Linked DNA regions of Macaca mulatta. The main gene of each other region encodes a partner of the protein of the gene in region 2 in a complex. Links are inferred from orthologs where the notes say so. Each region holds a gene or a part of one and is shown on either strand. Other genes may lie near its edges.

Evidence for each region. Proteins that work in one complex are often made in the same cells at the same time.
Region 1: the proteins of PLOD3 (region 2) and COLGALT1 are in contact, whole or in part, in a cryo-EM structure (PDB 8ZGE), measured with the Homo sapiens proteins. The link is inferred for Macaca mulatta from reciprocal best matches to the Homo sapiens genes PLOD3 and COLGALT1. Residues at the interface, in NP_001075.1 of Homo sapiens: Leu226, Val229, Val230, Leu231, Lys232, Phe233, Asp234, Arg235, Arg241, Gln261, Tyr264, Leu265, Pro275, Gly430, Ala431, Leu432, Arg440, Glu442, Glu446, Arg452; in NP_078932.2 of Homo sapiens: Ala36, Tyr37, Phe38, Pro39, Glu40, Glu41, Arg42, Trp43.

Annotation. Positions count from the first base shown.
Region 1 is NC_133424.1:18,075,866-18,080,938, forward strand, and holds part of COLGALT1 (procollagen galactosyltransferase 1), read left to right. Parts: intron 1-450; coding exon 451-583; intron 584-1,978; coding exon 1,979-2,106; intron 2,107-3,202; coding exon 3,203-3,409; intron 3,410-3,680; coding exon 3,681-3,948; 3' UTR 3,949-5,073. UniProt on the Homo sapiens protein: Beta-galactosyltransferase that transfers beta-galactose to hydroxylysine residues of type I collagen. By acting on collagen glycosylation, facilitates the formation of collagen triple helix. Also involved in the biosynthesis of collagen type IV.
Region 2 is NC_133408.1:48,476,560-48,481,632, reverse strand, and holds part of PLOD3 (multifunctional procollagen lysine hydroxylase and glycosyltransferase LH3), read left to right. Parts: intron 1-196; coding exon 197-260; intron 261-2,151; coding exon 2,152-2,249; intron 2,250-2,412; coding exon 2,413-2,514; intron 2,515-2,700; coding exon 2,701-2,826; intron 2,827-2,998; coding exon 2,999-3,120; intron 3,121-3,422; coding exon 3,423-3,527; intron 3,528-3,656; coding exon 3,657-3,782; intron 3,783-4,698; coding exon 4,699-4,840; intron 4,841-4,927; coding exon 4,928-5,041; exon of another isoform or gene 5,042-5,073. UniProt on the Homo sapiens protein: Multifunctional enzyme that catalyzes a series of essential post-translational modifications on Lys residues in procollagen. Plays a redundant role in catalyzing the formation of hydroxylysine residues in -Xaa-Lys-Gly- sequences in collagens.

The DNA of each region.
Region 1 (5,073 bases), on a different chromosome or scaffold from region 2:
GGATGTGGGTGTAGACCTCGCTGGTAGACGGCAAGTGATTCAGATGGGGGCGGGCGTGGTGTCCAAACAGGTGTAGACCACATCAGTGGGCGTCATGGAGGGCAAGTGAAAGGGACCCCGGGGAAGGGGCAGATCCTCACAGTTGTAGACCATGGAAGGCAAGTGAGTCCTGACCCAGGGGAATGGGTCGGTTTGCATGCTGCCAGTGTAGACCGCGCTGGTGGGGACTATGGAGGGGTAAGTCAGTCAGACTCCAGGAGAGGAGGAGAGCAGGTTTGCCCATGAGTGTATACCATGTGCAGGTGAGTGAGGCCCCATGTGTCCAGGAGGGGTGCCAGTGCTACAAGAGGGGGACCAGCTGCTCAGCGCCGCAGGGGATGATGGAATGGCGGGGGATGGCAGAATGGCAGGCAAGGTGAGCCTTCTTCATGACCCTCTCCTCCTCTCCAGAGCCATGAACACCAGCCAGGTGGAGGCGCTGGGGATCCAGATGCTGCCCGGCTACCGGGACCCCTACCACGGCCGGCCCCTCACCAAGGGTGAGCTGGGCTGCTTCCTGAGCCACTACAACATCTGGAAGGAGGTGTGTCCTGAGCGATGGGCGGGGCCAGAGTTATGACTCGAGATCTCCTCTGAGATTTGGAGCGGGAAGGGGTTGAAGGAGTTCCCCAAAGCCCTGGCCAGGCATCCAGCCTCAGCCATGGGACCCATGGCGTCTCTTTAGTGAATGATGCGCCACACCAGCTGTATCAACCCCAGGTGTGTCTGCCATCCTTCCATTGCGCAGATGTGGAAACTGAGGCTCGGGGGAGGGGTGAGCCCTTTTGAGCAGCAGGTGGTGTCTGGGGCCTGGGACCTGTAAACAAATCCTCGTTACTCCCAGCCTGGTCTCTATGCTTGACGTTTAGTAATAGAAGTCATGGCCACAGAGCCACTTTAAACCAGCACCTGCCCAGTGCCAGGGGCACCCCACCAGCCCAGGCATCCTCAGCCACCCTCAGAGGGAGAGGCTGTGATTGGAGGAGGGTGTCTGATTGGGCTTCGAACTTGGGGCTATCAGGGCCAGGCATGGTGGCACACACCTGTGGTCCTGACTACTCGGAAGGCTAAAGTGGGAGGGTGACATGAGCCTAGGAGTTAAGGCTGCATTCAGCCAAGATTGTGCCACTGCACTCTAGCCTGGACAACAGAGCAAAACTGTGTCTCAGAAAAAAAGAGAAAAATGGCTGGGTGTGGTGGCTCATGCCTGTAATCTCAGCACTTTGGGAGGCCAAGGCAGGTGGATCACCTGAGGTCAGGAGTTCAAGACCAGCCTGGCCAACATGGTGAAACCTCGACTCTACTAAAAATACTAAAATTAGCTGAGTGTGGTGGTGGGCTCCTGTAATCCCACTACTTGGGAGGCTGAGGCAGGAGAATCACTTGAACCCAGGAGGTGGAGGTTGCAGTGAGCTGACATCATGCCATTGCACTCCAGCCTGGGCGACAAGAGTGACACTGTGTCTCAAAAAAAGAAAAATAAATAAAAGCCGCGCGTAGTGGCACATGCTTGTAATCCCAGCTACTCAGGAGGCTAAGGCAGGAGAATTACTTGAACCCAGGAGGCGGAGGTTGCAGTCAAGATTGAGCAACTGCACTACAGCCTGGGCGACCGAGCGAGACTCCGTCTCAAAAAAGAGAAAAAAAAAAGAAAGAAAAAAACATGATCATCAAACATGAAGCCAAATGGGGGCGTGCGGCTGCAAGGTGGGAGGTGCATGAGGTGTGGACATTTGAGGGGCTAGGAGGCCTTCCTCTTCGGAGATCCATCATGGGTGACAGAGGGCATGGATGTCCAGATGTCCCTGGAGCTAGGAGAGGCGGGGAGATGCACTGGCTTCTCTCCTGGTCTTTCAGAGCTTCTGAAAGCAGAGCTCTGTGCTTTAGGGTCAGGCCTGGCCTTGGCCTCCCTGTGACCTGGCTGGGCTTCCTCTCTCAGGTGGTGGACCGGGGGCTGCAGAAATCGCTTGTGTTTGAGGATGACCTGCGTTTTGAGATCTTCTTCAAGAGACGCCTGATGAACCTTATGCGCGATGTAGAGCGGGAGGGCCTGGACTGGGACCTCATGTGAGTGGGGATCTGAGGGTGGGGTGAAGCTGGGGCCTGGGGCAAGGCCAGGACTTAGAGGTGGGGTTGCGGACAGGGTGAAGCTGGGGCCTGGGGACGGGTCATGGCTTAGAGGCGGGGCTTGAGGGTGGGGTGGAGCTGGACCAGGGCTTAGAGGTGGGGCTGCGAGGCGGAGTGGAGCTGGATCCTAGGGGCGTGGCCAGAGCGCTGCAGCTAAGCCTAGAGCCGTATGTCTGGGTGTGGTCAGGGTGGTAGGCGTAGGGCGTGGCTAACTCCTGGAAACGTAGCAGGATGATTCACGTGATCCCTGGGCCTGAGAGCACTGTCAGGGCTGTAGACTATATAGGGAAGGACCTTAGAAGGATCACCCAGAACTCAAGGTACCTGGCCAGCAGCCTGCAGGCTTGGTCAGGGCTTAGAGACTTGACTGAGGTCTATGGAAGTGAATGTGGCTAAAATTTGACCGGGCAGCCTGCGGGCGAGGCTGAAGAGCATGGGGTGTGGTCATGGAGGGCGTGGTCAGAGCTGGAGGTGTGGCCGAAGAGTGGGGGCGTGGCCAGGGCGCCTGGGTCTTAGACAAGCCCTGGTATGGGAGTACCGCCCCCATGTTTCCTGCACTGGAGCCTTTCTTTTCTCCTATAGGTGGGCTGGTTTGTCCTCTTCTTTCCTCCATCTTTCCCTTCCAAGTGCAGTGCCCTAATCCACATTCTGGGAACACTGCCCCGTGTGAATAGTAACTGCACCCCTCCATTCCTGACTGCTCCCCACATCAGGGCACCTCGCCCACCTCCACCCCCACTGCCCTCTGAACTCAGAGCAGCTTCAGCCTCAGAGAACCTCTGCGTGATCCTGCTCTCCCCAGCTCCAAAGCCTCCACGGCTCCCTCACGCCCTTTGGAAAAACTCTAATTCCCATGACCCACATGACCCCCAGACCCCTGGGCTCCTGCATTCTCTGCATCCAGTCACAGCGCTCCGCAAACATGCTGAGCCTGCTCCCATCCCAGGGCCTGGCGGGGTAACTAGATCCCTAGTTTTCTGGGCAAGCTCCCTCTGGAGGGCGGGAGGAGAGTGACAGGCCCGATCCTGCACCCCAGCTACGTGGGCCGGAAGCGGATGCAGGTGGAGCACCCCGAGAAGGCTGTGCCCCGCGTGAGGAACCTGGTGGAGGCCGACTACTCCTACTGGACCTTGGCCTACGTGATCTCCCTGCAAGGCGCCCGCAAGCTGCTGGCTGCTGAGCCGCTCTCCAAGATGCTGCCTGTGGACGAGTTCCTGCCCGTCATGTTCGACAAGCACCCAGTGTGAGAGGGGCAGGCGGCTGCTGGGCTGGCGTCTCACCGTGGGCCTGTCCTGGGAGGGTGGGGGCGTGAAACTCACGGACTCTGAGGACTTGTCTCTTCTTCTGCCTACTTCTCCCTCCGTTCGCCCCCTCCCAGATCTGTCTCCATTTGTATCCCCTGCACACTTACGTCTTAATCTATCCCGGCTGACTTCTTCACCTCCAGTTTTTCCTCCAGCTGTCCCCTCCCCTGAAGCCATTGCTGCCCCTCACTCCCCTCCTCCTCCCCCCAGGTCTGAGTACAAGGCCCACTTCTCCCTCCGCAACCTGCATGCCTTCTCCGTGGAGCCGCTGCTCATCTACCCCACACACTACACCGGAGACGATGGCTATGTGAGTGACACTGAGACCTCAGTCGTATGGAACAATGAGCACGTCAAGACCGACTGGGACCGCGCCAAGTCCCAGAAGATGCGGGAGCAGCAGGCACTGAGCCGTGAGGCCAAGAACTCAGACGTGCTCCAGTCCCCACTAGACAGTGCTGCCCGGGATGAACTCTGAGGGGTGGCAGCCAGAAAGCCAAAGCAGCCTTCGCTGGCCCAGGTTCCAGGTGCTTACTGAGGACATCAGGGCCACCTCTAGGACCCCTTGGCAGGCCGCAGAGGGCTCTCGTGTGGGGTGGTGTCCAGCCAGCTCTCGCTAAGCAATCACGTGCACACAGGCAGCATTAATGGAGTGCCTACTGCATGCCAGCAACAGGGCTTGGCCCTGGGGAACTGGGAAGAACCAAGCCCTCTTCATCTGTTCATGTGCCCAACACTTATTAAGTACCTGCTGTATGCCAGGTTCCCATGTTATGGCAGTGAATGAGGCATAATTATTCCCTCTATCAGCGATTGATTCAGTCATCAAGCAGTTACTGATCAGAGTAAGAATCAGGCACTACTGATACACATTCATTTTTAAAATTCATTCAAGGATTTATTGAGTGCCTACTGTGTATTGGGTGCCATTCTAGGCTCTGGGATTTTTTTTTTTTTTTTTTTTTTAAAAGAGCAGAGTCTCACTCTGTCACCCAGGCTGTAGTGCGGTGGTATGATATTGGCTCACTGCAGCCTATGCCTCCCAGGTTCCAGCAATTCTTGTTTCTCAGCCTCCCAAGTAGCTGGGACTACAGGTGTGCGCCATCACGTCTGGCTAATTTTTGTATTTTTGGTAGAGACGGGGTTTCACCATGTTGGCCAGACTGGTCTCGAACTCCTGACCTCAAGTGATCCACCCGCCTCGGCCTCCCAAAGTGCTGGGATTACAGGCATGAGCCACTGCGCCCAGCCCAGGCTCTGGGAATATTGAGATAAATAAGATGCTTCTATCCATTTATTCAAGCACATACTGATCACCTACTGTGTGCCTGGCACTCGTGTCACAAAGATAAGTTATTGATTTGGTACACTTAGCCCCTGCTGTGTGCAGGGAGCTGAGCTGTGGGATGGGAATGGGAGTGAACAAGGTACTTTTCACGTTTTTCCTTTTTCCCCTCACTGCTAGACGGTGTGGGAACTTCTCACTCTTTAATTGGCTTCTTTTCCACACACCTCAAGAGCACTGACTGTGTGCTGGGCACTAGTGATAAGAAAGAGGATGACAGTTGTTCAGTCTGCATTTTCGTCATGGGCTACATGCCAA
Region 2 (5,073 bases):
TCCCAGTTACTTGGGAGGCTGAAGCAGGAGAATCGCTTGAACCGGAAGGCAGAGATTGCAGTGAGCTGAGATCATGCCATTGCCCTCCAGCCTAAGCAACAAAAGTGAGAGAAAAAGAGAGAGAGAGAGAAGAGAGAAATGATGTCCTTCCCATTCCTTCCATTTTAACCACTCTATCGCATCTCATTCCATTTAGGAGAAACTCAGCCTTAATCTGGATCATAAGTCTCGGATCTTTCAGAACCTCAACGGGGCTTTAGGTGAGGAGGAAGACAGCCGCAGGTGGGCAGTGCACAGCCTCTGCAGCTTGGGGTCTTGAGCTGGGAGAGGCTTCTGGAGGACCTGGGCTGATCTGAGTCCACCTCTATGTGGTTTTATTGGGCATCTGAGTGGCTGGTTGTGTGAGTTGCACTGTGCTGATGGTACTAGAAGCAAGGGAGGCAAAAATGCGTCTGGCATCTGTTGCACACATGCTGCACCTGGGCACCAGGCCAGGGGCTTTTTTTTTTTTTTTTAGATGGAGTTTCGCTTTGTTGCCTGGGCGGGAGTGCAATAGTCCAATCTCAGCTCACCGCAATCTCCGCCTCCTGGGTTCAAGTGATTCTCCTGCCTCAGCCTCCCGAGTAGCTGGCATGCGCCACCACGCCTAGCTAATTTTGTATTTTTAGTAGAGACAGGGTTTTACCATGTTGGCCAGGCTGGTCTCGAACTCCCAGCCTCAGGTGATCCGCCTGCTTCAGCCTCCCAAAGTGCAGGGATTACAGGCGTGAGCCACTGTGCCCGGCCTACTCTGTGATTTCGTTTAACAAAGGGAAGGTCCCTGGTTATCCTTCTCATACAGATGAGGAAAGCAGCTTGTGGAGGGGTTGGTGACTTGCCTCAGGGGATGGGGAGAACGGAGAGAGAGAGGCCAGGCACGGTGCCTCATGCCTATAATCCCAGCATTTTGGGAAGCCAAGGCAGGAGGATCACTTGAGGTCAGGAGTTCGAGACCAGCCTAGCCAACATAGCAGAAACCCGTCTCTACTAAAAAAAAGTACAAAAATGAGCCGGGCATGGTGGCGAGCACCTGTAATCCCAGCTACTCAGAAGGCTGAGGTAGGAGAATCACTGGAACCCAGGAGGCGGAAGTTGCAGTGAGCCAAGATTGCGCCATTGTACTCCTGCCTGGGCAACAGAGACTCCCTCAAAAAAAAAAAAAAAAAAAAAAAAGGAGGCCAGGTGCAGTGGCTCATGTCTGTAATCCCAGCACTTTGGAAGGCCGAGGCGGGCAGATCATGATGTCAGAAGTTTGAGACCAGCCTGGCCAACATAGTGAAACCCCGTCTCTACTAAAAATACAAAAATTAGGCCGGGTGTGGTGGCTCATGCCTGTAATCCTAGCACTTTGGCAGGATTGATCACCTGAGGTCAGGGCAGGTGGATCACCTGAGGTCAGGAGTTCGAGGCCAGCCTGGTTGACATGGCGAAATCCCGTCTCTACTAAAAACACAAAAATTAGCCAGGTGTAGTGGTATGTGCCTGTAATCCCAGCTACCTGGGAGGCTGAGGAAGGAGAATCGCATGAACCCGGGAGGTGGAGGTTGCAATGAGCCAAGATCGCGCCACTGCACTCCAGCCTGCGTGATAGGAGTGAGACTCCATCTGAGAATAAAAAACAAAAAATACAAATACAAAAATTAGCCAAGTATGGTGGTATGTGCCTATAGTCTCAGCTAGCTGGGATGCTGAGGCAAGAGAATCATTTGAACCCAGGAGGCAGAGGCTGCAGTGAGCCAAGACCGCACCATTGCACTCTAACCTGGGCGACAGAGTGAGACTCCATCTCAAAAAAAAAAAAAAAAAAAAAAAGGAGAGAGGGAGAATATGAGGAGGGGTAGGGATGCTGAGGCTCCTAGTGGACCCCAGTTCAGCTCATCCTCCCCTTCCACCCAGCTGTGACATGATCACGCAGGTAGTAGGCAATGGAGCTTTCTGGGCCAGCAGCCTGGTCAGAACCCAAAGGTTCCTGCCCCACAATGAGGGACACTCTAGGATGGCCCTGGTGTCCCTTTATTCCCTGGAGAATATGGGACCCCGTATTTAGAAGAACATGTTGCTTGGCAGCTCCCAGAGAAAGGGAGTCTGAAGCCTGACCTTTTTCTTCCCCAGATGAAGTGGTTTTAAAGTTTGATCGGAACCGTGTGCGTATCCGGAATGTGGCCTATGACACGCTCCCCGTTGTGGTCCATGGAAACGGTCCCACTAAGGTGCCACCAGTGGTCTCAACCGCCGCCCTGCCCTGCCCCAACCCCCGGGCACCTCCAACCTTTCTGAGAAGCCAGCCCTTCCCAGCCCCCATACCAGAGGTGCCTGATCCCCACCTCCACCCCTGGAGGCCTCAGCCACTCAGCCTCAGTCTCTCCCCGACAGCTGCAGCTCAACTACCTGGGAAACTACGTCCCCAATGGCTGGACTCCCGAGGGAGGCTGTGGCTTCTGCAACCGGGACCGGAGGACACTCCCGGGGGGGCAGGTGAGGTGGGGGTGCCAGGGAGGGGCACGAGAGGGCAGCATGCTGAGCAGGAGGTGCAAGGACAGTGGGCTGGGTGGTGGTGGGGCCACCGCTCGCGGGTCCCTGCACCTGTCAGGGTGGAGGGTGGGTGGGGGCAACGGAGAAGTCCAGGCTTCCCTCTGAGCCCATGTGTGGTGCATCTTCCAGCCTCCCCCCCGGGTGTTTCTGGCCGTGTTTGTGGAACAGCCTACTCCGTTTCTGCCCCGCTTCCTGCAGCGGCTGCTGCTCCTGGACTATCCCCCTGACAGGGTCACCCTTTTTCTGCACAACAACGTGAGACCGCCCCCCCCCGCCCCGATCTTGGAGCCTCTCCCGAGGCACCCTTCCCCTGCCCTGATCAGAACTCCCGTGCCCCTACCCCCATCTCCTTCCCGCAGCACCCCCCATACCTCAGGTGCCGCCTCCCTGCCCTCTGAGCCCATTCGTCTATGTCATCCCCTCCCAGGAGGTCTTCCATGAGCCCCACATCGCTGACTCCTGGCCACAGCTCCAGGACCACTTCGCAGTCGTGAAGCTGGTAGGGCCGGAGGAGGCTCTGAGCCCAGGAGAGGCCAGGGACATGGCCATGTGAGCGGGTGCTTGCGGGGAGGAGGGGGTGGGATGAGGGTGCAGGGTGGGGGTTGCTGCCACCTGATGCCTGGCCCTCACCTCACCTGTCACCCGTCCAGCCCCTCCTGAGCCTCCCCATTCGCGTCCTTGCAGCCCCCACGCTGTCACCCCCGCCCTTACCAGCTCACCCAGACAGCAGAGAGCCTAGGGAAGGAAGGATAGACACTGCCTCCCTCCTTTTCTCATGGGGGCGTGGGCCAGTCCCCCCATCCACACTGCCTCCTCACCCGCCGCTGTCTCAGCTCGCCTCTTACCTCCAGGGACATGTGTCGGCAGGACCCCGAGTGTGAGTTCTACTTCAGCCTGGACGCTGACGCCGTCCTCACCAACCTACAGACCCTGCGCATCCTCATTGAGGAGAACAGGTGGCTTACCCCCTCTCCCCGCAGCCGGAGGGCACCCCAACAGGCCCTGGGAACCCCACTTCTGCCTTGGGTACGGGGCTCCCCAGGCCTGCTCCCGTCTGCCCAGCCCTCACCCCTGCCTGTCTGTAGGAAGGTGATCGCCCCCATGCTGTCCCGCCACGGTAAGCTGTGGTCCAACTTCTGGGGCGCCCTGAGCCCCGATGAGTACTACGCCCGCTCCGAGGACTACGTGGAGCTGGTGCAGCGAAAGCGAGTGTGAGTCCCGCCAGCCTGCAGCCCCCTGCCTCCTCCGACCCAGGGCCCGGGTAGACCCAAGGCCCCCACTCTCAGGGGTTTGGAGTGGTCACCAGTCAGAGGTGCCACGAGGCCGGGTACAGTGGCTCACACCTTTGATGCCACCATTTTGGGAGGCCGAGGTAGGAGGACTGCTTGAGCCTGGGAGTTTAACATCAGCCTAAGCAACATAGCAAGATCATGTCTCTACAAAAAACTTAAAATATTAGCTGGGCACGGTGGTGCGTGCCTGTAGTTCCAGCTACTACGTAGGCTGAGGTGGGAGGATCACTTGAATTTGGGAGGTTGAGGCTGCAGTGAGCCATGTTTGCACCACTGCACTCCAGCCTAGAAACAGAGGGAGACCCTGTCTCAAGAAAATAAAAAACAAGGGCCGGCCATGGTGGCTCAATGCCTGTAATCCTAGCACTTTGGGAGGCCAAGGCAGGCGGATCACTTGAGGTCAGGAGTTCAAGACCAGCCTGGCCAACATGGTGAAACCCCATCTCTACAAAAAATACAAAAATTAGCTGGGCATGGTGGTGGGCACCTGCAATCCCAGCTATTTGGGAGGCTAAGGTGGGAGAATTGCTTGAATCTGGGAGGCAGAGGTTGCAGTGAGCCAAGATCACACCACGGCACTGCAGCCTGGGTGACAGAGCAAGACTCCGTCTCAAAAGCCAAAAACAAGAAACAAAAAAGTGCCACAGCTTGGGGTAGGGACTGACTGCGTTTTGGGAGATGGGGCGGTTGTGACAAGCAGTGCTTGACAAGGGACATGCAGGAGCCTTATGTTCAGGGACTGCGATACTCTAAGGGAAGAAGGACTTCCCGGGATGAGCTGGGCAGAATTTGGGGGGCCGCCCTCCCAGCTGACCACGGTTGTCGGTGCCTCCAGGGGCGTGTGGAACGTGCCATACATCTCGCAGGCCTATGTGATCCGGGGGGATACGCTGCGGACGGAGCTGCCCCAGAGGGACGTGTTCTCAGGCAGTGACACGGACCCGGACATGGCCTTCTGTAAGAGCTTTCGAGACAAGGTGAGCGCGGGTGCGTGGTGTGGCCTGGGGGCAGCATCCCGGACTGTGGGCATGGCCTGCATCATGGACACCCCCACCCCACTACAGGGCATCTTCCTCCATCTGAGCAATCAGCATGAATTTGGCCGGCTCCTGGCCACTTCCCGATACGACACGGAGCACCTGCACCCCGACCTCTGGCAGATCTTCGACAACCCCGTCGTGAGTAGGACCCCCCGCGCCCAGAGCACACA